Struthio camelus: one gene and its partners. The protein of the gene in region 1 interacts with the protein of each later gene in a pairwise test. Links are inferred from orthologs where the notes say so. Each region holds a gene or a part of one and is shown in the gene's direction. Other genes may lie near its edges.

Region 1 (10,374 bases):
TGTCCCAGAGTGCAGCGGGACGTAGCTGTGGGTCAGTGGTGTCCCAGGGTGCAGCGGGACGTAGCTGTGGGTCAGTGGTGTCCCAGAGTGCAGCGGGACGTAGCTGTGGGTCAGTGCTGTCCCAGAGTGCAGCGGGACGTAGCTGTGGGTCAGTGGTGTCCCAGAGTGCAGCGGGGCGCAGGTGTGGGTCAGCGCTGTCCCAGAGTGCAGCGGGACGTAGCTGTGGGTCAGCGGTGTCCCAGAGTGCAGCGGGACGTAGCTGTGGGTCAGTGCTGTCCCAGGGTGCAGCGGGACGTAGCTGTGGGTCAGTGGTGTCCCAGGGTGCAGCGGGACGTAGCTGTGGGTCAGTGGTGTCCCAGAGTGCAGCGGGACGTAGCTGTGGGTCAGTGCTGTCCCAGAGTGCAGCGGGACGTAGCTGTGGGTCAGTGCTGTCCCAGAGTGCAGCGGGACGTAGCTGTGGGTCAGCGCTGTCCCAGAGTGCAGCGGGACGTAGCTGTGGGTCAGCGCTGTCCCAGAGTGCAGCGGGACGTAGCTGTGGGTCAGTGCTGTCCCAGAGTGCAGCGGGACGTAGCTGTGGGTCAGCGCTGTCCCAGAGTGCAGCGGGACGTAGCTGTGGGTCAGCGCTGTCCCAGGGTGCAGCGGGACGTAGCTGTGGGTCAGTGCTGTCCCAGAGTGCAGCGGGGCGCAGCTGTGGGTCAGCGCTGTCCCAGAGTGCAGCGGGACGTAGCTGTGGGTCAGCGGTGTCCCAGAGTGCAGCGGGACGTAGCTGTGGGTCAGCGCTGTCCCAGAGTGCAGCGGGACGTAGCTGTGGGTCAGCGCTGTCCCAGAGTGCAGCGGGGCGTAGCTGTGGGTCAGCGGTGTCACAGAGTGCAGCGGGGCGCAGGTGTGGGGCAGCGCTGTCCCGGGGCGCGGGTGTGGGGCAGGCCCCGGTGGGGGCGCGGCGGGGGGCCCGGCCGGCCGGCGGGGCGCTCAGCCCGCTCTCCCCCCAGCCCATGGAGATCTTCGTGGACGACGAGACCAAGCTGACGCTGCACGGGCTGCAGCAGTACTACGTCAAGCTCAAGGACAACGAGAAGAACCGCAAGCTCTTCGACCTGCTCGACGTCCTCGAGTTCAACCAGGTGCCGCGGCCGGGGGGCTCCGGGGAGGGACCCCGCGCCCGGGGGGCTCCGGGGAAGGACCCTGGAGCATCTCGGGGGGCTCTGGGGGGACCGCGGAGCCTGAGAGAGCTTCAGGGGCTTCAGGAAGGGACCCCAGGGTGTCCTGGAGAGTCTGGGGGGGCTCCAGAGAGAGACAGTGACGTCCGGGGGGGTCTCGGGGGGGTCCAGGGAGGGGTCCTGATGTCCATGGGCAGGTTGGGGGTCTCCAAGGAGGGACCCGGGCGTCTGAGGAGGGTTTCGGGGCTCCAGGAAGGGGTGCTGGGGTCCAGGAGGGGTGTCAGGGGCTGGGGGGACTCCGGGGGGGACTGCAGAGCGTGAGGGATCTTCAGGGGCTTCAAGAAGGGACCCCAGGGTGTCCTGGAGAGTTTCGGGGGGCTCCAGAGAGAGACTGTGATGTCCAGGGGGGTCTCGGGGGCTCCAGAGAGGGGTCCCGATGTCCAGGGGGGTCTCGGGGGTCTCCAGGGAGGGACCGTGATGTCCGGGGGGGTCTCGGGGGGCTCCAGGGAGGGGTCCTGATGTCCAGGGGGGTCTCGGGGGGCTCCAGAGAGGGGTCCCGATGTCCAGGGGGGTCTCAGGGGGGCTCCAGGGAGGGACCTCGGTGTCCAGGGGGGTCTTGGGGGGCTCCAGGGAGGGACCTCGGTGTCCAGGGGTGGGTTGGGGGGCTCCAGGGACGGGTCCCGATGTCCAGGGGGGTCTCGGGGGGCTCCAGGGAGGGACCCGGGCGTCTGAGGAGGGTTTCGGGGCCCTGGGAAGGGGTCTGGGAGTCCAGGAGGGGTGTCAGGCTGGGGGGGACCCCGAGGTCCGCGGGGGGGGGGGGGGGGCCGTCTCTGGGGACGGGCCCCGGCGTCCGGGACCCCCAAGTGACCCCCCGCCCGCCCCCCGCAGGTGGTGATCTTCGTGAAGTCGGTGCAGCGCTGCATCGCCCTGGCGCAGCTGCTGGTGGAGCAGAACTTCCCGGCCATCGCCATCCACCGCGGCATGCCCCAGGAGGAGCGGTGCGCCGGGGGGCCGGGGGGGCCGGGGGGGGCCCGGGGGGGGGCCCGGCCTCCCTGACACCCCCCGCCCCGTCCCCCCCAGGCTCTCGCGGTACCAGCAGTTCAAGGACTTCCAGCGCCGCATCCTGGTGGCCACCAACCTCTTCGGGCGGGGGATGGACATCGAGCGGGTCAACATCGCCTTCAACTACGACATGCCCGAGGACTCGGACACCTACCTGCACCGGGTGGGTGCCGGGGCCGGGCGGGGGCCGGGCGGGGGGCCGGGCCGGGCGGGGGGCTGACGGCGGCGCCGCCTCCCGTCGCGCAGGTGGCCCGGGCCGGGCGCTTCGGCACCAAGGGCTTGGCCATCACCTTCGTGTCGGACGAGAACGACGCCAAGATCCTCAACGACGTGCAGGACCGCTTCGAGGTGAACATCAGCGAGCTGCCCGACGAGATCGACATCTCCTCCTACAGTGAGCGGGGGGCCGGGCGGGGGGCCGGGCGGGGGGCCGGGCCGGGGCCGCCCTCACCCCGCTCTCCCCCCCCTCCAGTCGAGCAGACCCGATAAGCTGCCCGGCGCCCGCCGCCCTCCCGCCCGGTTCGCGTCTCCTCGTTCCTCCCCTCTTCCGACCGTCCGGCTGCCGAGGGAGCCCCCGAAACCGCCGACGCCTGCCCGGAGGGGGGCCCCCGAAACCGCCGCCCTGGCCGGGAGGGGGCCCCCGAAACCGCCGCCGCCCGGACGCAAGAGGAAGCGGGGAGGCCCCGCCCCGCCAGCCGCCCCCCCCCACGGCTGCCGCCGCCTCCCCGCGGCGCCTCCCCCGCCCGGACCCGGGGGGTTTTATAGAAAAAAGGCCTGAAAAGACAAAAAAAAAGAGAAAAAGCCCGAGCTCGGCGGGGGGCGGGGGCTCCGGAGGGCCCCTCCCCCCCGGGCTCCCCTCAGCTGTACAATTTCTGGTTTTTTTGGTAATAAAGTCGCCCGGCCTCGCCGGGTCCCTGGACGCCGCTGTCTGCCTCGGGGGCGGGGCCGCGGGAGGGGCGGGGCCGGCGGGGCGGGGCTTAGCAGGGCGGGGGTTGCGGTGGGGGCGGGGTCGCGGGAGGGGGCGGGGCTGAGGGAGGCGGGGTCCGCGCAGGCGGGCGGGGAGCGAAGCCGCGGCGGCCATCTTGCGCGCGGGCAGCGCCGCCATCTTTGAGGCGGGCGGGCCGAGGGGGCGGGGCCTCGGCGCCGCCGCTATAAAGGGCCCCGCGGGGGCGGCGCGCGGCCTCTTCCCGCCGGACGCCGGGGAGCCGCGGGCAGGTGGGGGGCGCCCGGACGCCTGGGCCCCGCTGTTGGGGGTGGGGGGGAGCCGGGACGCCTGGGCCCCGTTGTGGTGGGGGGGGGGGAGCCGGGACGCCTGGGCCCCGTGGAGGGGGGGCGCCCGGACGCCTGGGCCCCGTTGTTGGGGGGGGGGGGAGCCGGGACGCCTTGGCCCCGTTGTTGGGGGGGGGGGGGAGCCGGGACGCCTGGGCCCCGTTGTGGTGGGGGGGGGGGAGCCGGGACGCCTGGGCCCCGTTGTTGGGGGTGGGGGGGGGGAGCCGGGACGCCTGGGCCCCGTTGTTGTGGTGGGGGGGAGCCGGGACGCCTGGGCCCCGTTGTTTGGGGGGAGGGCGGGACGCCTGGGCCCCGTTGTTGGGGGGGGGGGGAGCCGGGACGCCTGGGCCCCGTTGTTTGGGGGGGGCGGGGAGCCGGGACGCCTGGGCCCCGTTGTTGTGGGGGGGGGGGGAGCCGGGACGCCTGGGCCCCGTTGTGGTGGGGGGGGGGAGCCAGGACGCCTGGGCCCCGTTGTTGGGGGGGGGAGCCGGGACGCCTGGGCCCCTGCCCCTTGGGGCGTCGCCATGATGATCCCCTAGACTAGAGTCTCCGACCCCCCTGACGACCCCCCCAGCCTGAGCGACGCCCCCTCCGTCCCTCCCCCTCCCCGGACGCCTCAGTCCCTCCCCCCCCCCCCGTTCACCCCTCTCTCTCTCCCTCCCGCAGGTCGGAGCCCCCGGACGCCTGGGCCCCCCCGGCTGCGCCATGGGGTGAGGATTCCCCCCCCCCCCCGATCCCCGCGGGTCCGGGGCGTCGCTGTGATGATCCCCCCAGACTAGAGTCTCTGACCCCCCCTGACGACCCCCCCAGCCTGAGCGACGCCCCCTCCCTCCCGCCCCCCCGCCGGACGCCTGGGTCCCTCCCGTTCGCTAACACCCCCCTTCCCCCCCCCCCCGTGTGTCTCGCAGGAGCCCGAGGCCCGTCGGCACCGGCATGACGCGGTGAGTGACCCCCCCCCAACCGGGCCCCCCCCGGGGCCCCCCGGCGATGAGGAACCCGCACCGAGGCCGATCCCGCCGTGACGACCCCTCGCAGCGCCCTGAGCCGAGGCGGCCCCGGGACCCCCCCGTTAACCCCCATTACTCCCCCCTGTTACCCCCCTGGTGACCCCCCCCGGGACCCCCCTGTTCCCCCCCGGGATGCCCCCATTACCCCTTCCAGGACCCCCTTGTTCCCCCCCCCCGAGACCCCCTGTTACCTCCCTTGGGAACCTCCCCATCCCCCCCCCCGGGACCCCCCCGTTAACCCCCATTACCCCCCCCCGGGACCCCCCTGTTCCCCCCCCGGGATGCCCCCATTACCCCTTCCAGGACCCCCTTGTTCCCCCCCCCCAAGACCCCCTGTTACCTCCCTTGGGAACCTCCCCATCCCCCCCCCGTTACCCCCCCGGGACCCCCTTGTTCCCCCCCCCCTTGACGCTTCTCTTTCCCCCCCCCCCAGCCGCGGCCCGGAGCCTGCGAGGGACAAACGGCGCCCGTGTCGCAGGGGGGAGGGGAGCAGCTGGAATTGGGGCAAATAAAGCTGATTCTGGGTCTGGATGCGGCCTGGTGGTGTCTCTTTTCGGACGGGGGGGCGGGGGATGCTCTGTTTACATAGCAACAGGGGGGGTCGCGCGGAGGTGGTGGGGGGGGGTTCCCGCCTTTTTTGTCCCCCTTCCCGACCGGTGGGGGTGGCCATGTCGGGTGTGGGCAGCGCCGCTACCGGCCGCCATCTTGGGTGAGGGCACCCCCGCCCCCCGGCCTGTTTATTGTCGGGGCTCCTCAAACCGGGGGGCAGCGCCCCTTCCCCCGCCCCGGGACCCCTCCTTTGTTTTTATTTAAATAAACACGGATTTGGGTGAGAGCTGGCCCCGTCAGTCGGGGGGGTTGTGCTCCTGTAACACAACGGGGGCCTCGGCTGCTCTGCCCCCTCCCCCCCGGGCACAACATGGGCCCTGCCGCGGGGTGGGGGGGGCACCAGCGCCATCTTTACGCTCGGGCCTACCGCAACACACGGGGGAGGGGGCGGGAAACGGGCCCGGCCCGCAGCCAAGATGGCGGCGCCCTCAGCCAAGATGGCCGCTCTGCCCAGGGCGCAATCGCCAAGATGGCGGCCGCCGCGGCTTCACTCCCTCACCCGCAGCGCGCATGCGCGAAGCAGCGAGGCCCCCCCCACCCCCGTCCCGGCTGGGGTGGCGGCGGCGGACGCCTGCTGAGCGGCGCAGGCGCGGCGCGGGCAGCCCGGCGCGGCGGCGGGGTCCTGCGCGGCGGCGCGCATGCGCGGCAGAGCGCGGCCGGGCGGCGCGGCCGGAGGCGCACGGAGGAGCCGCTCCGCACCGAGCGCGGCCCCGCGGCCCCGGCCCGGCCCCGGCGGCGGCTCCGCGCCCGCCCCAGGGCGCGCCCAGCCCCCCCGGAAGCCGACCCGCTCCCCCCCCCGCCTGCCCCGGAAGCGGATCGCGCACCGAGCCGGAAGCGACTGCCCGCGGAGGCAAGGCGCCGCCGACCGGCGGGGGGTGAGGGGCGGCGGGCGGGGGTCAGGAGCGCCGGCCTGCCGGTTTGCGGTGGGAGTCGGGGCCGCGGGGGTCAGGGGTCGGGGTGGGGTGTAGGCCGCGGGGTCAGAGGTCGAGGGTCAGCGTGGGGGTGGCGGGGTCAGGGTCGGGGTGGGGTCAGAGGCTGGGGGTCGCGGGGTCGGGGGTCAGGGCAAGCGTTGACCTCTGGGGTCGGGGGGTCAGAGGTCAGAGTGAGGGCTGACCCCCAAGGGTCAGGGGTCAGGGTGAGGGGTGACCCCGGGGGTCAGGGGCCGGGGGTCGGGGGCCAGGGCGAGGGCTGACCCCGGGGGTCAGGGGCCGGGGGTCGGGGGTGAGGGCGAGGGGTGACCCCGGGGGCCAGGGGCTGGGGATCAGGGGCCAGGGCGAGGGCTGACCCCGGGGGTCAGGGGTCGGGGGTCGGGGGCCAGGGCGAGGGCTGACCCCGGGGGTCAGGGGCTGGGGGTCGGGGGCTAGGGCGAGGGCTGACCCCGGGGGTCAGGGGCCGGGGGTCGGGGGTGAGGGCGAGGGCTGACCCCGGGGGTCAGGGGTCGGGGGCCAGGGCGAGGGCTGACCCCGGGGGTCAGGGGCCGGGGGTCGGGGGCCAGGGCGAGGGCTGACCCCGGGGGCCAGGGGCTGGGGATCAGGGGCCAGGGCGAGGGGTGACGCCGGGGGTCAGGGGCTGGGGGTCGGGGGTGAGGGCGAGGGGTGACCCCGGGGGCCAGGGGCTGGGGATCAGGGGCCAGGGCGAGGGGTGACGCCGGGGGTCAGGGGCCGGGGGTCGGGGGTGAGGGCGAGGGGTGACCCCGGGGGTCAGGGGTCGGGGGCCAGGGCGAGGGCTGACCCCGGGGGTCAGGGGCTGGGGATCAGGGGCCAGGGCGAGGGGTGACCCCGGGGGTCAGGGGCTGGGGGTCGGGGGTGAGGGCGAGGGGTGACCCCGGGGGTCAGGGGCTGGGGGTCGGGGGCCAGGGCGAGGGGTGACGCCGGGGGTCAGGGGCTGGGGGTCGGGGGTGAGGGCGAGGGGTGACCCCGGGGGTCAGGGGTCGGGGGCCAGGGCGAGGGCTGACCCCGGGGGTCGGGGGCCGGGGGTCGGGGGCCAGGGCGAGGGCTGACCCCGGGGGTCAGGGGTGAGGGCGAGGTGTGACCCCGGGGGTCAGGGGTGAGGGCGAGGGGTGACGCCGGGGGTCGGGGGTGAGGGCGAGGGGTGACGCCGGGGGTCAGGGGCTGGGGGTCAGGGGTGAGGGCGAGGGGTGACCCCGGGGGTCAGGGGTGAGGGCGAGGGGTGACGCCGGGGGTCGGGGGTGAGGGCGAGGGCTGACCCTGGGGGTCAGGGGCCGGGGGTCGGGGGCCAGGGCGAGGGCTGACCCCGGGGGTCAGGGGCTGGGGGTCAGGGGTGAGGGCGAGGGGTGACCCCGGGGGTCGGGGGTGAGGGCGAGGGCTGACCCCGGGGGTCGGGGGCTGGGGGTCGGGGGCCAGGGCGAGGGCTGACCCCGGGGGCCGGGGTCAGGGGTCAGCGCTGCGGCGGCGCCATGGCGGAGGAGCGGCTGGAGGTGCTGGTGAAGACGTTGGACTCGCAGACCCGGAGCTTCCACGTGGAGCCGGAGGTGAGGCCGAGCCGGGGGGTCCCCGCATCCCCGCCCCCCCCCCCGGCCCCCCCGTGACCCCCCGCCGCCGCCGCCCTCCCCCAGATCACGGTGCGGGCGTTCAAGGAGCACATCGCCGCCGCCGTCTCCATCCCCGCCGAGAAGCAGCGGCTCATTTACCAGGGCCGGGTGCTGCAGGACGACAAGAAGCTGCAGGAATACAGTGAGGGGGCGGCGGGGGGGGGCCGGGCAGCACCTGGGGGGCGGGTTGAGTTTGGGGACCCCTTGGGCAGGGGTTGGGGCATTTGAGGGGGTTTGGGGGTATTTGGGGAGCCCTGGGGTGAATTGGGGGGTTTAGGGGCCCCTTGGGCAGGGGTTGGGGCATTTGAGGGGGTTTGGGGGTATTTGGGGAGCCCTGGGGAGAGTTGGGGGGGTTTAGGGGCCCCTTGGGCAGGAGCTGGGGCATTTGAGAGGATTTGGGGGTTTTTGGGGAGCCCTGGGGCAAATTGGGGGGTTTAGGGGCCCCTTGGGCAGGAGCTGGGGCATTTGAGGGGGTTTGGGGGCATTTGGGGAGCGCTGGGGGGAGCTAGGGGGGTTTAGGGGCTCCTGGGGCAGCATTGGGGTCATTTGAGGGCAGTTTTGGGGGGGTTTGCAGAGCTGCGGGGTTAGTTAGGGACTTCAGGAGCTTCTTGGGTGGTAGTTGGGGCATTTTATCGTGGTTTTGGGGGTCTTGGGGGAGTTCTGGAGTTTTCTTACAAGAGCTTAGAAGTTTTTGGGGGTAATTGGGGTAGTTTGTGGGAGTTTGGTGGCTCTTAGGAGCGATTTGAGGTTATTTAGAAGAGTTTAGGAGCCATCTAAGCAGCAGTTTGGGGGTGGATGGTCGTTTATGGGGGGTTGGGGGACCCTTGGGCAGCATTGAGGGAGTTTGAGGGCAGTTTTGGGGGGTTTGGGGAGCCTTAGAGTTAGTGGGGGGGTTGGGGGCTCTTCAGGCAGCATTTGGGGGGGGTGGGGAGCTGCGGGGCAGGGGTTTGGCTGACCCTCTCCCCCCCCGTCCTTTCTTCCCCCAGATGTGGGGGGCAAAGTGATCCACCTGGTGGAGCGGGCGCCCCCCCAGGCCCAGTCGCCCTCGGGGGGGGGCCCCTCGGGGCTGGGCTCCTCCTCGGCCCCCCACAACGGGGGGGGCCCCCGGGGGCCGGGCGGCCCCGGCCACGACCGCAACGCCAACAGCTACGTCATGGTGGGGACCTTCAACCTGCCGGTGAGCCGGGGGCGCCGGGGGGGCTTCGGGGGTCTTCTAGCAGACGGGGGGGGTCGCAGCGCTGATTTTTGCTAATTTGGGGGTTTTTTTTTCTGATTTATTCCGCCGCGGGGGTGGCAGATTGACGGCTCGTCAGTGGACGTGCACATCAACATGGACCAGGCCCCGATCCAGGTGGGCGCGGGGCGGCGGGGGGGGGCCGCAGCGGGGCGAGGGGGGGCCGAGCCCCTCTCGCGGCCCCCCGCCGCGGCCCCTGACCCCCGGCCGCCCCGCAGAGCGAGCCCCGCATGCGCCTGGTGGTGGCCCAGCACATGCTGCGCGACATCCAGGGCATCCTGAACCGCCTGGAGGTGAGCGGACCCCCCCTGAACCCCCCTCCCCGCAGCCCCCGGCCCCCCCCCCTCACCACCGCGTCCCCCCCGCCGCAGGGCAGCAGCGGGGCCCCGTCGCCCGCCGAGGGGCCGCCCGAGGAGCCCCCCGCCGCCCCCGAGCCGCCCGCCGAGCCGCCCGAGCCGCCCGCCGAGCCGCCGCCGCCCGGCCCCGAGCCGCCGCCGGCCCCCGAGGCCGCCCCCAAGTAAGGGGCGGGGGGGGGGGACACGCCGCCGCCGTCCCGAGCGCCGCGGGGGGCCGTTCTCAGCCCCCCGCCCCCGTGTCCGTCCCCCCCGCAGCCACCCGGCGCCGGGCGAGTACCTGGAGGTGCTGCTGGAGCTGCGGCGGCTGGAGGGGCGGCTGGAGCCCTTCCGGCAGCGCTGCCAGGAGATCCTGGGGGCCGCCGGCTCCGCCGACTACAACAACAACGTGAGCCGCGGGGAGGGGGGCTGCGTCCGTCCCCCCCCGTCCCGGGGCGATGGGCTGGTCCCAATCGGTCCTTGGGCACGCCCTCCCCCCCCAATCCCAGGGATGGTGCAGTCCGGGTCCCCCCTGTCTCCTTATGGGGGTTGGTGCAGCGTGGGTCCCCCCCGTTTCGTCCCCACAGTGGCACAGTCTACTTTGGTTCCCCCCCCCCCCCAAATGGTACGGTCTGGGGAGGGGGGACGGGGGGGGGGGAGATGGGTGATACCATGTGGGGGGGGGTTCGGTCCCTTTTGGGGGGCTCCAGGCAATACCACGCAGGGCTGGGGGGGGTTCAGTCCCTTTTGGGGGGCTCCGGGCGATACCACGCAGGGCTGGGGGGGGTTCGGTCCCTTTTGGGGGGCTCCGGGCGATACCACGCAGGGCTGGGGGGGGTTCGGTCCCTTTTGGGGGGGCTCCGGGCGATACCACGCAGGGCTGGGGGGGTTCGGTCCCTTTTGGGGGGCTCCGGGCGATACCACGCAGGGCTGGGGGGGGTTCGGTCCCTTTTGAGGGGCTCCGGGCGATACCACGCAGGGCTGGGGGGGGTTCGGTCCCTTTTGGGGGGGCTCCGGGCGATACCACGCAGGGCTGGGGGGGGTTCGGTCCCTTTTGAGGGGCTCCGGGCGATACCACGCAGGGCTGGGGGGGGTTCGGTCCCTTTTGGGGGGGCTCCGGGCGATACCACGCAGGGCTGGGGGGGTTCGGTCC
Region 2 (10,507 bases), on another chromosome or scaffold:
ACTGAACATCTGGAAGTTGTGGGGGATTAGCAGAAGGCCCCTGTGCAAAATAACCCTTACACTCTCTGTTGGAGAAGGTCTGGAAGTAGGGAGGCAGGCAAGGCTACCCAGCCTTGTGCCAAGGAAATCAGTGTTGCTGTGGCACGCTTTAGAGGGACGAAAAAGGTGGAAGAAAGTGAGTGAAACTGCCCGTGGTTTCCCAGATGACCAAGAACAGCTGCTGCATTTGTTGTGGCCTGGGACCGGGGCTGGTTAACCCTCCTCCCCTTCGTCCTCCTCCACATTGATGTCTCCGTGACCTGAGACAGCTGGCAGCAGCCCTAAGGACGGCAGATGCTGATGGTAGGATACAATGGATAATCACCTGGGTGCTGAGAGCAGGCTAAGGGACTGGCTTTGATGACCCATCCACAAAATTTAGTAAGCCTAGTCTTTGAGGGCTTTCTGAGAAAAGATTGTCCTTCCTACAGAAAAGTTTTACTGAAAATGTGGTAGGACTAGATAAAAAATCAGCTTGTTGCCTTCAGCTGCTGATAAAGTAAGTTCCAGTCTTCCCGTTATCCTTCCACATCACTGTAGTTTTCAAACAAACTTAGACAACCGAGGCAAAAAAACAAAGAGTGAGAGCTCCAGACCTGCAAAGTTCAATCTGAATCAAATCAACAGATTTATATATATGTTTGTAATCTAATAAGTATTCAGGAGACAAACAGGGTCTCTGCTTGCATCAGAACAAAGCAATGTCAGCACTTTTCTTCCAAGAGCAATGAACTCAGTTAATCTGAAGTGTCTGCTCGTTGGCTGCTCTGAGTCCTTTGCATTGTGAGGAGATTTCACGTTGCAGTTTTTCTGGTTGAGCTCAGACCAATGATGTTCACAGTCTGCTTGAGCTTCTGAGAATATTCTGTGCCACACTTTGTGGCTGCCCCTGGCCTTTCTGTCTGGGGGAGACAAATGTGGAAAAACTAGATTGATGGTTTAGAGAGACAGACACCGTCTCCGTGAGGAGACTACCCTGCAGCATTTGCTACTAAAGTGTGCTGTTGAAATGTCGTTCACTGTTGGCTTTGTGACTAAAAATCAGTAAATACTGCATCTTCCATGCTACTTATCAAAACTGTTTGGCGAGTTATGACAAGGCATCTCCAAGTAGCTGCATGTCCAAATCTTTTTGATTTTGTTCTGGCTGAATGAATATCAACCTACAAATGCTACAGAGGCTTTGGCAGATGGTCAGCCCCTGAGAAGAGAAGAGCAGGCATCCCTGGGCAACCAGAGCTACCCTCCCTGCTTCTCCTCACCAGCTCCCCCCTGGCTCTGGCACACATAGAGGTGCTTTGGGATGGCTTTGCTCTCTCTCTGAGATCACCAAATAGCTTAGGGTAAATGTTTTTCTCCTCCAAGGACATGCATTCTCTCTCCCCTAAGGAGCTCTGCCGGACTACATTTATTCTCTCTGTCGATTGCCTCTAGCGCTGCTAGTCTGGGAAGAGAGCCTTGACTGCAATGTTTACATTCAGTATTTTAATACCCTGCAATTTATTTTCATTTCAGGTTGTCTCACTAACAAACTGAATGTCTAACCTAGCTGGACAAAAATGTGCCTTGCGTCAGGGTTAATGATGCTCCCTCTAAGTCAGATGCAAGTGATATTGGCAGCTTGGCAGGATGGAGAACGGTGATGGGAGAGTAAAAGATGACAAGGAACAGAGGAGTGGGGAAGACTATTACCTTGTCTTTCTGAAATTAGAACCAATGACCAACGTTACATTTCCAGTTACTGTGAGATGACTGAGTAAGTGCAAGATTAGCCTTTCTTCCATCTGTACCTGCCCAGAAAAGGGCATCCCTGTAGCAAGCAGATCTCGCTACAGTGATTCTTGTCTGTCTGTTACCGCAAGTAATAGAATTGACCCTGTAGTGTCTGACTTTACAAGCACAAAGATAATCTCTCACTCTATTGAAAGATAGACAGAGAGACAGGCAGAGGCATAGTTATCACATATGGTTTACATGCATTAATATGTACAGGCATGTGCTCTGGAAACGTTAAAGGAAGAAATTAAAGCTGACAAATCTGTAATGTAAAATTTGAAATACAGGTGAAAGAGTAATTCAGTAATCTGGCCACGCTAACTTAGAAACGGTTGTTGTGAGTTCTGCTAATTTTCCTAATGCCACTGGGATGTTTTGCCAATAAATTATCTTACAATGTCAAAATCAATCACCGTGTTACAAAGACTCCTCATCTGCGATCGAAATCATTCTATTCACCCCGGAGACACATATCTGTAAGAAATTTAAGAGGTCATCAATCATGGTTTCTCTTTCCAATGATGACAAAGTTGCATCTTCTGATAAGAGCACTTCCAATGTTCTTGTCAGGACAGAAATCAGAGCTGAAACATGGTCTTTTTACAGATGTCTTTACATAGACTGCGTCTCATCTCTAATTTTGGAAGCTATATAAAATAACTGTTCCGAGACTGAGTCTCTGTTATATGTAGATACCATTACCCAGGTGAAGGGATGAAAAGACATCTCAATATATATGAGAATTAGGCTCTATATTTAATTATCTAGCATACAGTTATACAGCATAGAGCTATTGACAAACAATGCCAGATGCATTCTTTTTATCTCTGGTGCTCTGAAATTTTATATACTTGAATAATTCAGATTTGCATTCACAAAATCTTACATAGTCACATTTTAATTTGCTATTTTCCCAGAGTATATTAGCTGTTTGTTGATGATATAAGAGTCACTTGATAATGGTGTAGCAGCCCATGTGTCTCATCATGAAACTATTGGACTTTCTACTGAAAACCAAATCATCATAAAATTCAAATAAACATTTCACAAGGACCATCACACAGGCTGTATCATTTTAAAACCATCTGAAAAGCAATTCTCTGAGGTGTGTTTCGTAGCCAATTGCTTCCCAGATAGTTTTCCATTAGGGCTGTGATTCAAGCCACAACGAGTGCCTTTAATCCAGTTCCTAAACTCGATTAGGGAAACGCCTGGATAATAACTCCAAAAACTTCTTTCTCTGTCACTTCCACAGGAAACGTTTAACCCTGCCATAGATCACCTTGGATCTAATGAACTGTCGGCTCCTGAACAAAAATCTTCATATTAGTCTTAACTGCAACTGGAGAGCAGGATCTGTGCACTGAGTGTGGACAGGGCAAGCTTATTCAACGGGGACACCTTTGCCCACACACTCTCTCATATACCTCTTTGCAAAGTAACTCCCAGATACAAAACCACTAACATCCTGAAAAGCCATTTACTTTTGTGTGCGAGGCAGGAGCAGTTTTTGGCAGAAGTGAGGGCTTTTTGCAGGTGTGGATAGCATTTTACCATGCTCTGAAGCATCCACAGGGCAGGAACTAGGCAGCACAAAGGCAGAAGGTTCACCCACTTCGAGTCAAGGTGTACTTCCCTTATCTGAGCCTGCTACTTCCTCTCCATGTGAAAGACGGACTCAGAAAGTCTTCTTAAGAACCAATTTTGCTAGTTAGCCATGAAAGCTGCTCACTTCCCAAAAAGTCTATAGTGTAATGTCCCACTATTGCAGGTCAGAGAAAGGTTAAGCAGTCAATTTATTTTAGAAACCGAGAAAGAAAAGTGAGCTTGCCCGATTAGTCATTTTTTTACTCCCACCCAAAGTATTAGATAAGTCTGAGATAAAGTGCTTGAATTCATTAAAGTTGCTAAAGGCAAGAAAGGACTGAAACACGTCTTTTAATTTTTCCTCTCTTGCTCTCTCTTAAAAAGAAAACCCCTGTAATTTCATAGGTCAAGCTATGACTACAGCCATGTTGATAAAATGCTGAATTATGGAGCAAAAAGGACATTTCAGTTCAAACTTATCATGCTTATCATAGCCTAGACTCCTGGATGATAGAATTGACTTCAGAGGAAGCTGGGAGTTCTCAGTATTTCTGTAAATCATGAGTTTTATTGACTTGCCTAAAATTGGCATGCCTAGTTTGATATATCTGACCTTTTGCTTTGTCGTCATTATGGTAAATAGAAATGGTGTAATGAAAGAACACGAGAAAACAATTTTCCTTCGAGGGTCTTCAAAGTTCACATATCAAAGGAATGCTGCAAAGCTACAGCACGAAAATCCGATGGCTGAAGTTCCCCGGTGCTACTAAACGTCACTTCTGCCAGCTTGTTGACAGGCATAAAGAGGAGCATTCACACCACCCACCCTAGGAATCTAAACAGAGGTGCCTAAATTAGGTGTTTGGGCTGTGTGGAACCCCTAGGCAGACTCCTCCAAACTAATAATTTTGTTCTGAACCACCTTCTCGAGGAGCCTGTGTTGACTTCAGAAGGGTCTTCAAAGGATTGGGCCACAACCTTTCTCACCTGCCTTTAGAGTCCTAAAGCAGAAAGTGTGAACATCCCCGAGAGTCTGGAAGAGTCTCCTCCCTGGCTGGTTCTTGGGGAATACACTGGGGACCAAGAATCATTTTTGTTTAAGAGGGAAACCTGGAATTAATAATGCCTTTAGCTAGCAAACAAGTGCTGGGTCCTATAGGATCAGCAGGTATATGCCAATGAACTACCCCTGAAGTGGAGGTTTACCATGGCCAGCAAGGCCACCTTAATGGTTGCATCCTGGAGCAAGCAGAGGGATGGTGCTAGAGAGCTGATTCCAGCTCCTGAGGAATCTCTTCTTTCTCAAAGGAAAGCTAATAGCTCCTGCCAAACTCTGCACTAAGTGCCTTACCTAGGGAGTAGTACTGTGCACCCTGACAGCACAGGTGCTGCGGGACCACCAAGGTCAACTGAGAAGCTTCCTGCACAAGTAACCTCGGACTAATAAGATGGAACGAGTGTGAAATGGAAAGGTGCCTGAACGGTTATCCGAGCTGAATGCCAGCAATAACACAAAGCTGTCGCAGGGGAAGAAGAAAGGTTGTGATTCACTGCTGGAGACTGGCTCATTTCCAAGAAAGGCATTTGCCCCACCAGAGAGCTTGGCTCCGTGCTCGCCGCCTCACGTCCCACCCTCACACGCTCCCAAACGCCGCACAGACCAGGCCAGGTGCCCCTCGCCTCGCAGCGCTCATCCGCGGTGCCACGCGGAGCTTCCCCGCGAGCCGGGCCAGCGCTGGCTCCTGGCCTCACGCAGCGGGCAGCAAGCCTGGTTAAGCTTAAGACAGCTCGCCCAGAGACACGGAGCCCGCCGCCGCCGCGCCCGCGCCTTTCCCTGGCGGCGCCCCCCTCCCGCCCCCACCTCGGCGCAGCTCGGTGCCACTTGCCGTCCCCGCCCCCCGCCCCCCCCCCCCGCAGCACCTCCCTGCGAGCGGGCAGCGCTTCCCCAGCCAAAGCGGGGCGGGGGGCAGAAGGGAAACGCGGCGGCCGCAGCCGCCCGCCGGGGCCCGCGGCGGGGACGGGGCGGCTGCGGCGGGGAGGGCGCAGCGGCGGCCGGACGGGGCGACCGCGGGGGAAGGGGCGGGGGGAGGCCCCCCCCCCCGAAGCCGGGCTGCCACCGCGGGGGGTGGGGGAAGCAGGGACACCTCGCCCCCCCTCCCCTCCCCGGGACCGGGATGCCGCGGCGCCTCCCCGGGAGCGGGGGGCTGGAGGCGGGGGTTGCCCGCCGGGGCGGGCGCTGTCACGTGGCTGGCACGATAAAACCGGGGGTAATTGCGTTTAGGCAAATGAGGCTCCCTCGGCCCTCCCCGTCTCCAGGTATATAAAGTGGGGCGCTCGCCCGCCGACGGCCAATGCGCACGGAGAGCAGCGCCCGCCCCGCCCGCCGCGCTAGGTGCGTGTGCCCGCGCCCGTGCGCGCCGCCGGGGCGCTTGGCCGGAGGGGGGTGCGCGCGTGTCGGTGGGTGAAGGTGTGTGCGGGTGTACTCACATGCGTGTGTATGTGTGTGGGGGGGTCTGTACGTGTGCGTGCCCCTATATGTGTGTGTGTCGGGGGGTGCCTCTGTGTGTGTTTGTGTATCCCGGAGCGTGCGCCTCTCCGTGTGAGGGTGCCTTTGTGTGCGTGTCTGCGTGTGCCTCTGTCTAGACGGATGCGTGTATCTGGGCGTGTGAGGGCGTGTGTGTATCCGTACGTGTGTGGAGAGAGGTATCCATATGCAGGTGTGCACACCCGGTATGGGTGTCGCTGTATGTATAGTGTGCATAAGTAGATGAGTAGGTATCGGGGAGGGGGGTAACCTGGATGTGTGTGCATATCTAGATGGGTGTGGATCTCTATGCGTGAGGGTGTATATATCGACATGTGTAAGGATCCATAGGTGTGAGGGGGAGCTGCATGCGTCTATATGTGCATGTATGCATAGGGGGCGGCTGTGCGTATAACTAGAGGCGTATGTATATAGGTATGTGTGAGGGTGTGTACAGCTAGGTGCATATGTACCTGTCGGTGCGAAGGGGTGCGTGTATAGCTAGATGCGTGTGCATACCTGCATGTGCGAGGGTGCGCACCTCCAGGTGCGTGCGTAGCTGTGGGTGCGTGCGTGTGCGGGGGCTGCGCGCAGCCCCTGAGCGCCGTGTCCCCCGTCCCCCGGCAGGGGACGGCGCTTCGCCCCTTGCCCCCCCTCCCCCCCCAAACCCCATCCGCAGGTGGCCGCAGCCCGTCCGCAGGACGTCGAGGCGGCGATGAGACTGCCGCTGGCTTTCGCCGTGCTCCTCCTGGCCTCGGCGCAGGTGCTGGCCGAGGAGATCGGCGCCACCGATGACCTCAACTACTGGTCCGACTGGTCCGAGGGCGAGCAGGGCAAGGTGAGCGCCGGGGCCGGGCAGCCCGCGGGGCGCCCCGTCGGCGCGGGGCCGGGGCTGGGGCTGGGGCCGGGGCCGGGGCTGGGCAGCCCGCGGGGCGCCCCGTCGGCGCGGGGCCGGGGCTGGGGCTGGGGCCGGGGCCGGGGCTGGGCAGCCCGCGGGGCGCCCCGTCGGCGCGGGGCCGGGGCTGGGGCTGGGGCCGGGGCCGGGGCTGGGCAGCCCGCGGGGCGCCCCGTCGGCGCGGGGCCGGGGCTGGGGCTGGGGCCGGGGCCGGGGCTGGGGCTGGGCAGCCCGCGGGGCGCCCCGTCGGCGCGGGGCTGCGCTGAGCACCGCCCGCTGGTCGCCCGCAGGAGGAGCTGCCGCTGCCCTTCGAGCACTTCCTGCAGAGGATCGCCCGGAGACCCCGGCCCCAGCAGTTCTTCGGCCTCATGGGCAAACGGGATGCCGGTGAGCGGGGCACGGGCTTGGGGGGCACCTCCCTGCGCGCGGCCTCTCGCTGCTCCAAACGTCGCTTTTCCCAGTAGCAACCCCAGCGTCATAGCATGTCGCCCGCGTCGTTAGGTAGATCTTGCTCCGAAGTTGCGATTCTCCCCCACCCCAAGTTTCCTGGAAGACAATACGATCGATTGAAAATAGCCAAGAGTAAAACTGCGCAGTAAAGTTATAAGTGCAAACTAATTGTAGCGTGTAAATAAATACCAGTAAAAAAATCACAATAATCTGTAGGTTGGCATACGTGCCACTAAATTGTCTGAGCACGTGTAGTATGATTTCTGCCATGTAATGCTGTGTACAATTATCACCATCTTTTCTAATTCTAAGTGTTTACCAAACTGAGAATCGGTCAGAGTAACTTGGATCTAAACAGCTCTAAGGTGTGTCATTTTAATTGAAATGAGGCTTTCTAGTCTATTCAAGAATAAATACTGTGGTAATTTGTCACCTTAATTTTCCCTACATTGAATATGCATAGGGTAGTTTCTGTATTAGATATTTCAAAGGATCACAGAAACAGCATATGTGTATGCCAGTCCTTTTTCAATAACTCTTTCCTTTCTTTTTCTTTCCTCCTCTTTTCCATGCAGGATATGGCCAGATCTCTCACAAAAGTAAGTTTAAAAAATCCCCAACATCTTAAGTAACTATTAAAAGATATTCATATAGAGAATTGTATATTTTAGTGGATCGTTTAGAATATAAATGAGTTCAGCTAAGGGCCGGCAGCATAGGCGGTAGAGGAGTATTCTGTCAAAAGATAGAGTAGCCAGCAATAAGGACTTAAGCTTGTACCTAATCTGAACCTCCACAAGCTTTCAGATTTCAATCCACATTAGTGTGTGAATGTTGCAGCTCTTATTTCTCTAGGGGTGCATTCTGCAAACCTTTCTCATAGGCAAGGCAGGCTTACTGCCAGACTCAGAGTGAGAAAATTAAGGCAGCAAAAGCTGGAAAATTAGAATAGTGAATTCCCAAATCTCTGAGAAGTGATGACATGGATACACATGTGAGATACTGCAGCTGTGATCTTAGTGATGTCTGACTGTGAATCAGACCCCCATCGCAGCAGAGGCTGATTGACATATAAACACGCATATCTTGCATCATTAATAAGCATGTCTTGCTTTGTTTCTGTATAATACCAAGTGGAAGATGGTATCAGCAACGTGGTATTATCTTGTTGCATACAGTGACAAAGAGTTTTACTCTCTGAAATTATCTGAAGATGCTTAGACAGGACCTAGAAGATTTTTTAATAAGCAAAAATTGATCTTGTATTTTGTGAGACCTCAGCTGTCCCAAGAGGTCAATACATGTCCCAGTGTTCTCTGTTAATCACTAGATTTTATCACTAGGATTATTTATTTGAAGGAAAATGAAAGAGAATCCCAGCCAAAGCTCATGCCAAATAACTGCTGACTAAAGTAAAAAAAAAAAAAAATATATATATATATATACACACATATATATAGCCTTCTTAAACTGCTTCAGCTCTAAAGTTAATGCCTGTGAGGTCTAAAAATCATTCATCTTGTTTTGTAGATGCATTAGCCAAGCAAAATTCTTTCCAAAGAGAAATTTCTAAATTTACCTCAAGTCAGCCTGGAAAAAGAAGAACAGCTCCTTTTTGGTCCTTAGCTATCACTACATCTGATACATGCTTCATACCAAACCTTGGAGTAATTTATCCTCTACATAACCAGTGCCTCGAGGAGTAATAATGGGACAGGATGGTAATATTTGAACTCGTAAATATTCCAAAAATAGACCCAGACTGTCCAGCTCAGTCATGTCCAGACGTAGAGTCCCATTGGCCTCCTCTCAAATAAGGGCTCTCTTGCCTGGCCTGTGATGAGGATTTTCATCCACATAACAAAATAAACCACCGACAGGTAGAGTAGGTGTATCATACGGATGCAAGCTATGCTAAGATATGGCCTTCTTAGGTGTGTGCTGAAGTCAATAGGAATTGTAGTGTCAATTAGCCACACTGGGAGAGGAATGAGAATCAGTTTTTGGCCATTGTTTTTCTATTGTGGTTAAAAGACAAAATCAACAAAATGTCTATTCAAGCCAATGGGAAGAATTCCACTAACTGGCCTGTGCCTTGGTCTGACCTACCCCAGTGATGAGACAGGACTGTTCATTCTCTGTCTTCTGAGAGTGGTGTGAAAAATTAGTATGTGAGATGAACAGGCTGTGTCTGTGTCGTCTTTCCTCATGAGAACACGCTGTCTTAAAAGCCTGCCTATTTAAAATGTATTAAAACAACTCCAATTATATTTTTTCAGGGCATAAAACAGACTCCTTTGTTGGACTTATGGGCAAAAGATCTTTAAATTCTGGTATGTATATGACTAAATCTGGTACATGGTAATATACAGCAGCTTAATTCTGTTGCCTCTTTGTTCTCTCCCACTGGATGGATGAAGCAGTCTTTGTATGGTGTAGACCCAGAGTTCTCTGAAAAGGGTCCAGGATGTATTTTCTTAATCAGGATATTTCAGGGTGCAGTTCGCTCTAATGCTTGTGATGATCAGCCTGGTTTGAGCTGCCAAAGTGCAGGCAAAATCAGATGAGATTTCCTAGGGCACTTTCCTTACTCTCGCTATCCTCACTGGTATTTATGTTCTTCCAATCAGCAAAATGCTATTAAAGAGAAAAATATTTCTTGGCATATCAGGAGAAATGTAGAGGCTTAAAACATAATGTTCATTTAAACTTGTGATTCAAATCCAGATCTCCTCAGCTAAAGGTGCCTTCTCACCCTTTCAGTGGATCTTTATTTTTAATGAAGTTGAAACAGGAGCTGAAAGAGCAGAGATCGGCCATTAACATCGCCTCATTGTTAGTTCAGACACACTCCCAGGCCCTTGCAGCTTTTAATTTTACTTAGAAATAACCAACAGCATTTTAAGCTTTGAATGGATACTGTGAACTTATTTTATTTTTCCATACAATCTGTATACAGACAGATTCCTCCTCCTTCCTATGAGCAACCCCTAAGGGTAATTCCAAACTGCCAGTTGCTCTAGCTTTCCTGTGCTGTAGGGTAGTAATGAGGAAATCTCTCATAGTCAACCATAAAGTGTCAGTTAATTCCCTAGAAAAGGGATTAAAAAAAAAAACCTAATGCCTATTTCATGTCTCTGAAATAATTCTCACTGTTTTGTTAAATGAATGATAAAAGTTAAATTACTAGCTGACACCTTTATATTATGTGGATACATGCTGTGATCTATATTCTG
Region 3 (10,086 bases), on another chromosome or scaffold:
ACGGCGGGACGGGCTCCGGCCGGCGGAGCCCCACCTCCCAGCGCACAACAACCTGCAAGAGGGACGTTTCGGCTACGAGCAGCGCCGCCGCCGACCGCCGCCTCGGCCGGGCCAGCCTGGCGGGGCCGGGGCGTCCCGCTCCCTCGGGGACCGGGTCCCCGGTGTGGGCACCGACGGGCAGAGCTGCCGCACGGCACCTCCCTCCCGCAGAGCCCCCGGCCGCCTGGCCAGCGCCCTTTCCGCACAAGGAGCCTCAGTGCTTACATAGCCCAGGCTTGCAGCTAGTAGAAAAACAAAACATGTTTTTCACATTAAAATTTCCCTTGAAAAACAATGGTTTAAATTAAGCGTAAGAAAAGAAAAGTGAGGAATCCAAAAAGCAACAACAACAACAACAAAAAAAAAAGGGAAATTTTTGGTGGAGCCCAAAAGCACTTTCCTGGGACCGAGAACTTCTCCCGCCGAGGCCCCGCGCTCCGGGCGCTCCCGGAGGCAGGCGGGCTGCCGCCGGCGTGGTGCGGACCGCGGCCGAGCGCCACCGCCGTCCCCGCCGCAGCAGCCCGCACGCGCGGCCCCAGGCCTGCGGCACGGCAGCGCAGCGCCGGGGAGGACGAGGTGGGGGGGTGCAAACCTTCTCATCTGTCTGCGAGCGAATTCAAAGGGAGACCGATTCAAATCCGCCGTGACATGACTGGCTCGGGGCTGGCAGACAATCCCTGCGGCGTGTGTAACAAACCTTGCCGCTTTCCTTTGAGTGGCCTCCAATTTATTAATTAAAATAGGCAATTATGTGCTATCTGGGGTGGAGGGGAGCGGGGAGACCAGCTGCACCAGTTATTCCCACTCGGCAGGAAGCGTGCTGGAAAGGCGCTCGTGCTTTCAAGGACCGGGAGGCAGAGCCTGGGAGGGAGCCCGCGCGCAGAGCTGCCCTCGCGTCCGCCTCGGGCCGGCGCGACGGGCCGGCAGAGGGGGGTTAATGCCTGGCATCACTTTAATTTAACAGCACAGGGCCCAGAGGCCAAGACGCCTCAGAAAACGACTTGCCAAAGTCGCATGGGAGGTTAGTAGCAGAGACGGAAACCGAACCCCAAAAAGTCTCCCGGGAATCTGCCGAGAGCGTTCGCTGCCCTCGGCCCCGGGAAGCAGGGATGAGGGAGGCTGGAAGCGGGAAGCCAGGTCTTTTTTAGGCTCTTGCTGCCCATCCATCCCACCGTGCTCACTGAGAGGGAACGTGAGCAAGAGACCCCGGGCTCCGGCAGAGCAGGGCGAGCGCAGCGCAGACAGGGAGGGAGCGCCACGGGGAACACGTCTGTGCAGTGTGATGTCTATGTGGAATAACATCTGCATGTCTGGGATTTATCTAAACACTGCAGATCTCATGTCAGCAAATCTAGGAGTCAGGAGAATTTATCCCGAGCTTTTGTTACTCCCTGCAGGGCACGCTTGCATGGGGAAGGCCCCGGCGATGGGGCTCCGCTGCCTGCTAACCACCTCCGCATAACGTAAACGGGACCCCACGCAGCTGGCAGGGCACCGCGGCGCTGGGCCGGCGCCACGGGGCGCGCCTGGCCGCACGGCGCTCCGGCTTCCCCGTCGCAGTGGGCGCTCGGGGCGCGCATGCACGCACACGCAGGGCCCCGCCGGCGGCCACCCGGCAGCTGCAGCCCGGGGCCCGCAGCCACCCCCCGCCAGCGGCCTGGCACGGTGGCATCGCCTGCATTAAGTAACGTCTGGGGACATGAGCTCATCGTTAACACCCACGGCCCGGGTGGATGCGAGTGGCAAGGGCGGCTGGCGGGCAGGAGCGGGGCCCCGGGAACGCGCTGCCGGCGAGGCGCTCCCTGCCCCGGGGCGGGCGGGCGCCGGGGGTCTTGGACGGCTCCCACGTGAAACTCCCGCCCGCTCCCCTCCTCCTGCCGGGGCTGGGAGATGCACCGGGTTGCCCAGCTTTGCTGCAACGCGGGCTCCCGCTCCGGCCAGCCTCTGCCCCCAGCCTCAGCCACCCACGGGCTCCTCTCCCTGAGCCCGGTCATGGGGCACAAGCATCGCCCTCCTGCGCTGGGGTCAAGCGGGATCATGACGCCCAGCTACCGGAGAAGCCTTTCAGCCCGTCCAGCCCCTTGGACAACGACAGGCTCCTGGTATTTTCTGCTGCCCTCGGCCAAAACCCTCCCTCCTTCCCCGCTGCTGTGGCTGAGCGGTGCTGGCGCTGCCGGCCCGGCTGCTGGGGGAGCAGGCTCTGCCTGGCGATGAATCGCTGCTAGCTCGGGAGGTGTCACCTCTTCGTCAGTCCTTTCTGAACAGGGTGCAGTTCGCGTCTTTCTGCAGCACCGTGGGAAAATCATCCCAGCCCCTGGCTTCTTCGGGTGACTCAAATTTGCTCCCGATCAGATCCAGGCTCCCTCTGAGCCTGGGCAGGCCGTGGAGAGCCGAGCACCAGCCCAAAACCCGATTCCCAGAGCTGCGGCAGAGACAGAGGTGCGTCCGCCCCAGGCGCGCCGTCGCGGATCAGCCTCGAGTCCCGCCGTGGAGCGGGATCGCAGGTGCCGCGAGAGCCCTCGTCTCCACGTGCGTTAGCGATCGCTGCCATTTGCATCCGAGCGCACGCGCTGCCCTTCGGGCGTCCGCACTTCCCGCGTCAGGGAATTCCACAGGGACAAAGTCAGGGAAGCCAGATCTCTCCCTCCTCATTCCACATCCATTTGATCAAGTGGCAACTTGTCTTCAGACCATGAAACAGAGCAAGGAGAAACGAGTGCAGTGCACGGCCTCAGCGTCAGAGGGAACTTCCTTCGGGGTGTGAAACGCTCCCTCTGGGGCTGTGGGCTCCGCTCTGCGGGCAGCCGCGCGGCTCCGTCTGGCTTTCGGATTGAACCACGTCCAACTGTCTAGACCCACCTCCTGCAGAAAAAAAGAGTTGCAGATTTCCTCATTGGTCACAAATCGTTGCTAACATTTCTTATCAACAGCTGCATCATTGATCAGTTACTAAACAACTGCAAATCTGTCCTGCAGTTGAAATTTCTACACAATTACTAAACAGCTCCAGAAACTGCTGACCAGTTACCAAGCCGTTATACGACCATTTCCTATCAGTAGCCAGGTTAAAGCTTCATAACCCCAGCCCTTGCTTCTTGTTTTTACACCTGTACTTATCGATGTGGAGCGAGTAAACCCGCAGAAGAGGGTTTTCCTGGGCTTTGCTTTTCAGAGTCCAGAGTTGCTTCACAAAACGCCTCCTCAGCCTGCTCTCATCCCCTAAAAAAAAAAGCAAGAAAAGCAAACCTGGGCCGAAGATGCCATCTGCTGGAAGCAGGGCTGGTGCAGTGGGTTGGCGGGCATCCTGCAACCCCGCAACCTTGCAACCCCCAAAACTCTGCAACCCCACCACCTTGCAAACCCCCAAACCCTGCAACCCTGCAAACCCCACATCCCTGCAACCCCACAACCTCACAGACCACATTGGCCCCACCAAAGCGAGCACGTGTCGCAGTGCTTGCACTGCCCAAGGGTTTTCTGGATCCCTGGTTTATTGCTTAGACAGGGGCCCCAAGAAAGGCAGCCAAGGAAGAAACAATCCCCCAAAATAAAACTTCACTTTTCAGCTTTCCTGAAACATCTTCAGCTCTTGCCAATCCCTTGGCAAAAGCAAGGTGGAGATCTGATAGGAAGCACCATTTGAGAGATCTTTAGTGAAATGGAAAATTCATGCCCTGTTTTGGTTATTGCTATTTTTTTAAGCAATTCTTGAATTTTCACTGAAAAAACATTTATTTCTTCATTTTGGGGATTGCAACCTCTCCCCTCCCGGAAGTGAGGCCACTGAGCTTGGCCGCTCTGTGAAGACCCAGCCCTCTTCCCTCTCCTAGAAAGAGCCATTCCAGTGTCATGTTACAGCATGCCAGACAGGCAATGTTGGGGGAAACTCGCTTCAGAGCTGCCCCAGAAATATTTTGGGGTTTATCGGTTAAAGAAACAGGGATCTGAGTATGCAATTAATATTTCTTTCCTCCTTCTGCGAAGAATACTTGGCACAAGGGACTCCCGAGCCCAAGAGACACAGACCAAGAGGGACAAGCTCTTCCTCGCAGGGACCCGATGCACAGCAACCGCTCGATAAATTGTCTTTGCAAAACATCAGTAACTGCAGCATGACATTTTCCTCCCTGAGCTTCCTGACCCCAGGCGCTGGCCATCGCTCAAATGGCAGCACCGGATTCAGTTTCAGGCCAGCATCTGCCATTTCCATGGAAACGGAAAAGCAGACGGGTGAAAGCGGACAAACAGGCTGGAACCGACGCTCCGTGCGGCCAGGACCCGGCACCCTCGCCAGGACACCCGTCGCTGGCACGGCGTGGGATTTGCACCTGCTCCGGCTGGGAAGCCGGGCGGAAAGGGCGTCCGGCACAGAGCACGCCGGTGCGCGCCGCTGGCAGCCTCGTTGCGTGCGTGCTGATCCTGCCACAACCGGGCTGCGAGGGGCATGGAAAAACCAGGCAACTGCCCAGAGCGCTCCGACTCTACCCAGGCAAGATCCCCCCGGGAGGAGAGGGCGAGGAACGCGCAGGGAGAGCCGGGGCTCGGCGACGCCGGACTGCCCTCGGCTGCGCAGTCACGCGCCAGGCGCCGCGGCCTTCCCTGGGAAGCTTCGGAGGCCGCTTTATCTCCCGGGTGACTCCACGAAGTCGGGCAGAGCTTCACGCCCCGGGCGCCAGCGCCTTCCCGCGCCAGCGAGGGCGACGGCCCAAGCGGTCCCCGAATGGATTGAGCAAGCTCGGCCTGCCTGCAAACCTCGCCCCGAAACGGGGCTCGAGCCGGAGCGCCCCGCGGCCGGCAGGTCCCGGCCCGCCTGCCCCCTCCCCTCGGAGGGCCCCGGGCAGCGGCTCCAGGCCCCGCGGCCTACCAGGTGGGACCGGGCCTGGCCCCCATGGGAGGCCGAGGGAGGGGGGCCCCCGACCCCCATGGGGTGGGGGGCAGCCCCAGACCCACACCACGGTGCACAGGGACCCCACCAGGGCCCCACTGCCATGAGAACTTGGGGGGGGGGGGGCGCGCGCTATGGGGCACCACCAGCAACAGGCCCCACACGCACAGAAAATGGCGACGGCACACAGCCCACCCCCGGGCCCGCCCCTTATATACCCCCACTGACCCCGCCCCCAGACAGCCCCGCCCATCGCCCCAGCCCCGCCCCTCCTCCACGCCACGCCTCCCCGGAGCGGCTCCCCCCTCCCTTCCCCCCGCTGCCCTCCCCCGCCCCTTCTTTTCCGCGTTTCCCTCTGCGTGGGCCCTTTGCGTCCCTGCTCGGCCGCCGTCGCCTGCGCCGTGCGTCACCGGGCGGGGCGGGGCGGGGCGGCGCGGGGGGGGGGTGGGAAGATGGCGGAGGCTTCCCCGCAGCCGGGACGGTTCTTCTGTCACTGCTGCTCGGCCGAGATCGCCCCGCGCCTGCCCGTGAGTGGGGACGGGGGCCTGGCCGAGGCCGGCGCGGCGCTGGGGGGCCGGGACCGGGCTGGGGGCGAGGGCTGGGCACGGGCCCGGCCGTTCGGGCACGTGGGGGTGAGGCCTGAGGGGGCGGGGGGCGGCTTGGGGAGGGGCTGGGCCCGCGGGGCGGGGGGGGGTCCTGCGTGTGAGAGGACGAGGGGGCTCCGAGGGGGCGGGGGGGTCAGGGGTGGGGGTCTGTTTGTGAGGGGGGCTCGGGTGGGCGTTCAGAGGGGGTGGGAGCTCAGGAGGGGGGTCTGTGTGGGGGGGGCTCAGGGGTGAGGGTTCAGAGGGGGTGGGAGCTCAGGAGGGGGTCTGTGTGTGAGGGGTCTCAGGGGTGGGGGTTCAGGGGGGGAGCTCAGGAGGGGGTCTGTGTGTGGGGGGGCTCAGGGGTGGGGGTTCAGAGGGGGTGGGAGCTCAGGAGGGGGGTCTGTGTGTGGGGGGTCTCAGGGGTGGGGGTTCAGGGGGGGAGCTCAGGAGGGGGGTCTGTGTGTGAGGGGTCTCAGGGGTGGGGGTTCAGAGGAGATGGGAGCTCAGGAGGGGGGTCTGTGTGTGGGGGGGCTCAGGGGTGGGGGTTCAGAGGGGGTGGGAGCACAGGAGGGGGTCTATGTGAGGGGGGCTCAGGGGTGGGGGTTCAGAGGGAGTGGGAGCTCAGGAGGGGGTCTGTGTGTGGGGGGTCTCGGGGTGGGGGTTCAGAGGGTGTGGGAGCTCAGGAGGGGGTCTGTGTGTGAGGGGTCTCAGGGGTGAGGGTTCAGAGGGGGTGGGAGCACAGGAGGGGGTCTATGTGAGGGGGGCTCAGGGGTGGGGGTTCAGAGGGAGTGGGAGCTCAGGAGGGGGTCTGTGTGTGGGGGGTCTCGGGGTGGGGGTTCAGAGGGTGTGGGAGCTCAGGAGGGGGTCTGTGTGTGAGGGGTCTCAGGGGTGAGGGTTCAGAGGGGGTGGGAGCTCAGGAGGGGGGTCTGTGTGTGAGGGGTCTCAGGGGTGGGGGTTCAGAGGGTGTGGGAGCTCAGGAGGGGGTCTGTGTGTGGGGGGTCTCGGGTGAGGGTTCAGAGGGAGTGGGAGCTCAGGAGGGAGTCTGTGTGGGGGGGGTCTCAGGGGTGGGGGTTCGGGGGGGAGCTCAGGAGGGGGGTCTGTGTGTGAGGGGTCTCAGGGGTGGGGGTTCAGAGGGGGTGGGAGCTCAGGAGGGGGGTCTGTGTGTGGGGGGTCTCGGGGTGAGGATTCAGAGGGGGTGGGAGCTCAGGAGGGGGTCTGTGTGTGAGGGGGGCTCAGGGGTGAGGGTTCAGAGGGGGTGGGAGCTCAGGAGGGGGGTCTGTGTGTGCAGGGGCTTGGGTGGGGTAGGGGTTATGGGGCAGGGGTTCAGAGAGTTTGGGGGGCTCTGAGTGTGAGGGGGACTTGGGGTGGTGGCTCTGGTGCGTAGTCCTCAGCGAGGGAAGAGGGGAGCCCCGGAGTGAGGCAAGATGAGGCATGTGGCAGTTAGGGAACAGGACGGAGTTGGGAGGAGGCTGTGGGGGGCTGCCTGGAGGTAGCAGGGGGCTGTGGGGCCCCCTCGGGCCAAAGAAAAGCAGCTGGTGAAGCCAGAGACGGGGTGTGCTGGAGGAGCGCGGGGAAGCACGGCAGTGGGTGTCCTCTTCCTCTTCCTGATGTAGAGGAAGGTGGCGCGGAGGTTCCTAGGCAGCAGGGAGGTCTGGATGGAGAGAGCGGGAAGGGCTTTGCAGGGAGCAGGGCAGTGGGGTGGTGGGTGCTGCTGGGGGGGGTCCCACCAGGCCTGTTTGTTGGGGGGCTGCGGTGTTTTACTTAGTGTGTGCTGTAAAGATATCTGTTATAAAGAGAGATGGACTAACCAAAAGCTGTCTTAAAGCAAATTTGGTAGGATGCTCTCCTGAGGTAATCCCTTCTAGCAGCCTTTCCCCATCCAAGTCCATGGGCCTTTCTCATCCAGTGCATCTCCAACTGCCTGAAAGGGTTGTCTTTGGGACAATTCTCCAAACTACGAAAACACCATTATCCCACTTCTTTGTGTGGAATGAACTGAATCTCTGTGGGATAATGGGAGGGTTTCTTTTTTTGTCATCTTTTCAGTATGGTTTAAACATGAGAAAAGCTTCGTGGGTGATAATTGCTAAGACACAGGAGTGGGCAAATACACAAGTGATACGTACACGGTATTTGCACTAACTAACGCAGAAGCATTCGTAGGCTAGGAGCAGTACTTGAACAGGTGTGCTTTAATCACTGAGTCAAAACCTTGCTGCCTACTGGTAAAGACTCAGATTTTCCTGGTAAGTGTAGAAAAGGAACACTGGCTGTTGGAAAGTAACTGATTGTGTTGATCATGACTAGATTTTCTGTTGCTAGTCTAACAAATGTTGTAAGATGTTAAATCTGATTATGAAGTTAACAAGCCCTGCCTTTGTTTATACAGAGTCTTTATTTGTCCTGAGAAATTTGTTGGCACCTTATTAGAATAAAGAATAACTCTTTTTTCTATTTTAACATTTATTTCATTTTTAAAGTCAAGCGATAGCTTAACTGTGAGTTAAAGATGTCTCTCTGATGGAATGATTGATTAGCCTTCACTGTGAATTTGTTTTTGTGACATGATATTTTTCCTTTCGCCTCCTTGATCAGTTTTACTGGTTAGGGTGAAGGCAGGCCTTGATAGTAACAACTTGTATTTACCATCTACCAACATCTAACACGTTGTATTTAAGTATGAGGACAAAACTGTTAATATGCTCCTGCTAAATAAATAGACTGGCTTGAGAAAGTGACTGAGGAGCTGAAGCCTGAATCCCAGGAACACTGGTCACTTATCTGTGTTTAAACACCCTCTCTTATTTCACCCTTGTTTAAACACCGTGCTGGTTACACCAGCAGAGCACATCTGGTAGCAAATGTACTGAACTGTGTTAGGGAGCAGACAACTTTTGTTGTAGACTCAGGTTTAGTTAATTGATAGTCAATGAACTTGTTTAGGATCCAAGTTAGTTTGGTTTCCTCCTGCTGACTGCAGACTGAGTTACTAAATTGGCGGTGTCATGGCATATGCTGCAGAAGAAGTGATTCAAACAGTCTGAGAAACAGCAAACTTTGACATTTGTGCTGTTCCAGCTGCAAAAGAATTTGCTGATCACTATGTTCAGAGTTGTCTGTAAGCAAAAAAAGTCTCCCTTACATAGGAGAGTTGAGAGGAGTAAATCACTTCTTTCTCTCAAGTGTGGCTAGCATAATAATTTGTCCCAGTGGTGTGCTGCTAAAATGTTCAGTAAAATAGTAAGGGCTTATTTCAAAAGCAGAGGAAATTGATTTCACTTTCTGTAATCTACACAGCTGTTCTTGTGTGCCAATAGCCATCTCTGAGAGGAGTTTGGATGGTGTAGAAATGTTCTTGAAATCAAACATTGTGTAAATTCTGTAGACCTAGTTATTTCACAACCGCAGATCTAAAGAGTTCTGCGTGGAAGAGGGAGTGGCAGCTTCCATAAGTCCTTTTCTAGGACGAATAACTGGATGGTGCTCTGCTAATTCCTTATCTTCCTGGGCAGGCAGGGACAGTATCAAGTGGATCACCAGTGCTGCTGTGCTTTGCTTGGTTCTCATCATTTTTTTCTGCATTGGCTTGAAGAGTGATCCAGATATTTTATCAAAATAAACTCACGTGACTTCCATCCTGTCCTCTTTCCAAGAATCCATTAAGTTTGTTTCAGGGCATATTACAATCTTGAACATAGAAATAGTAAAGGGAACCAGTGTGGTGGTGGTGGGTTGTTTTGGTTTTGTTGTGGTGGTTTTGTTTTTCTTAGAAGCTCTTAAACCTCTATCATACTGAGTTTAGCTTTATCAGAATTGGGTCCTTTGTCTTGTCCAGGGTTTGGGGCAGTTATGTTTTGCCCGTACTAACTGTTCCACCTTAACTTCGGTTCAAGTTAGGTACAGGATACGTTACTTCCTGTTCCAGCTCTGCTGTGCTGTATGGCATTATTTCTTGTCAAGCGTAATGACCACATTCTGCTGAAAAGCGAAGTAATTTCCTTTCGTGTTCTTAAGCGTTCTGAGTTTCTTCTCACTTTGATGGTGTGATCATGAAGTATAAATTATTCACTAACACTGAGAATTTGAGAAAAGCAACAGTAGCAAACTCTTGAGGATTCCTGCATCTGAATACACAGACTGTTTATTATAAAATATACAGTCTTCAGTATTAAAAGCTAGAAATATGGCAGTAGCTTTCTGTAATGAATGTTGAGCGTGGGAGTATAAAATTCTGGTATTCTGTGTTGCAGAATGACCCTCTTGTGGCTCCTTAAAGTCTGTGTGGTGTGAATCCCAGACTTTATTAGTAATAACTTTCCATTTAATTCTTCCTAAGTGACAGTGACGCTGTAATTAGCCCATATTGTAATTCCCTGTTTGTTGCTGTTTCATTAGGAGAGTCTGGACTCTTTTTGGGGGGGTAGCGTAGGGTGCAAACACCCAGCTATTTAAAAAATAGTATTTGAGATTTATCTTTCTGGGAAAGCGGGTGGTTTTGCTTTCATTTCACCCAGAACAACATCCAAAGTTACCTAATGCTTTGTCTATACTGGAGATTAATTAGCGTTATCCAAGTCT

Evidence for each region. The genes of interacting proteins can lie anywhere in the genome.
Region 2: the proteins of BAG6 (region 1) and TAC1 interact in a two-hybrid assay, tested with the Homo sapiens proteins (2 studies listed by BioGRID and IntAct). The link is inferred for Struthio camelus from reciprocal best matches to the Homo sapiens genes BAG6 and TAC1.
Region 3: the proteins of BAG6 (region 1) and RNF126 interact in binary tests that used the Homo sapiens proteins (3 or more experiments, as listed by UniProt). The link is inferred for Struthio camelus from reciprocal best matches to the Homo sapiens genes BAG6 and RNF126.

The regions. Positions count from the first base shown.
Region 1 is NC_090977.1:57,319-67,692, reverse strand, and holds the start of BAG6 (large proline-rich protein BAG6), read left to right. Parts: upstream 1-5,829; 5' UTR 5,830-5,954; intron 5,955-7,498; 5' UTR 7,499-7,520; coding exon 7,521-7,595; intron 7,596-7,679; coding exon 7,680-7,797; intron 7,798-8,641; coding exon 8,642-8,832; intron 8,833-8,952; coding exon 8,953-9,006; intron 9,007-9,107; coding exon 9,108-9,406; intron 9,407-9,500; coding exon 9,501-9,630; intron 9,631-10,374. Other genes in the region: spliceosome RNA helicase DDX39B, read left to right, coding at 990-1,121, 2,046-2,155, 2,238-2,382, 2,466-2,613, 2,692-2,708. UniProt on the Homo sapiens protein: ATP-independent molecular chaperone preventing the aggregation of misfolded and hydrophobic patches-containing proteins.
Region 2 is NC_090943.1:29,672,847-29,683,353, forward strand, and holds the start of TAC1 (protachykinin-1), read left to right. Parts: upstream 1-5,654; 5' UTR 5,655-5,794; intron 5,795-5,822; exon of another isoform or gene 5,823-5,869; intron 5,870-6,553; exon of another isoform or gene 6,554-6,605; 5' UTR 6,606-6,641; coding exon 6,642-6,764; intron 6,765-7,111; coding exon 7,112-7,208; intron 7,209-7,846; coding exon 7,847-7,870; intron 7,871-9,550; coding exon 9,551-9,604; intron 9,605-10,507. UniProt on the Homo sapiens protein: Tachykinins are active peptides which excite neurons, evoke behavioral responses, are potent vasodilators and secretagogues, and contract (directly or indirectly) many smooth muscles.
Region 3 is NC_090967.1:7,561,554-7,571,639, forward strand, and holds the start of RNF126 (E3 ubiquitin-protein ligase RNF126), read left to right. Parts: upstream 1-5,233; 5' UTR 5,234-5,376; coding exon 5,377-5,451; intron 5,452-10,086. UniProt on the Homo sapiens protein: E3 ubiquitin-protein ligase that mediates ubiquitination oF target proteins. Depending on the associated E2 ligase, mediates 'Lys-27'-, 'Lys-29'-, 'Lys-48'- and/or 'Lys-63'-linked polyubiquitination of substrates.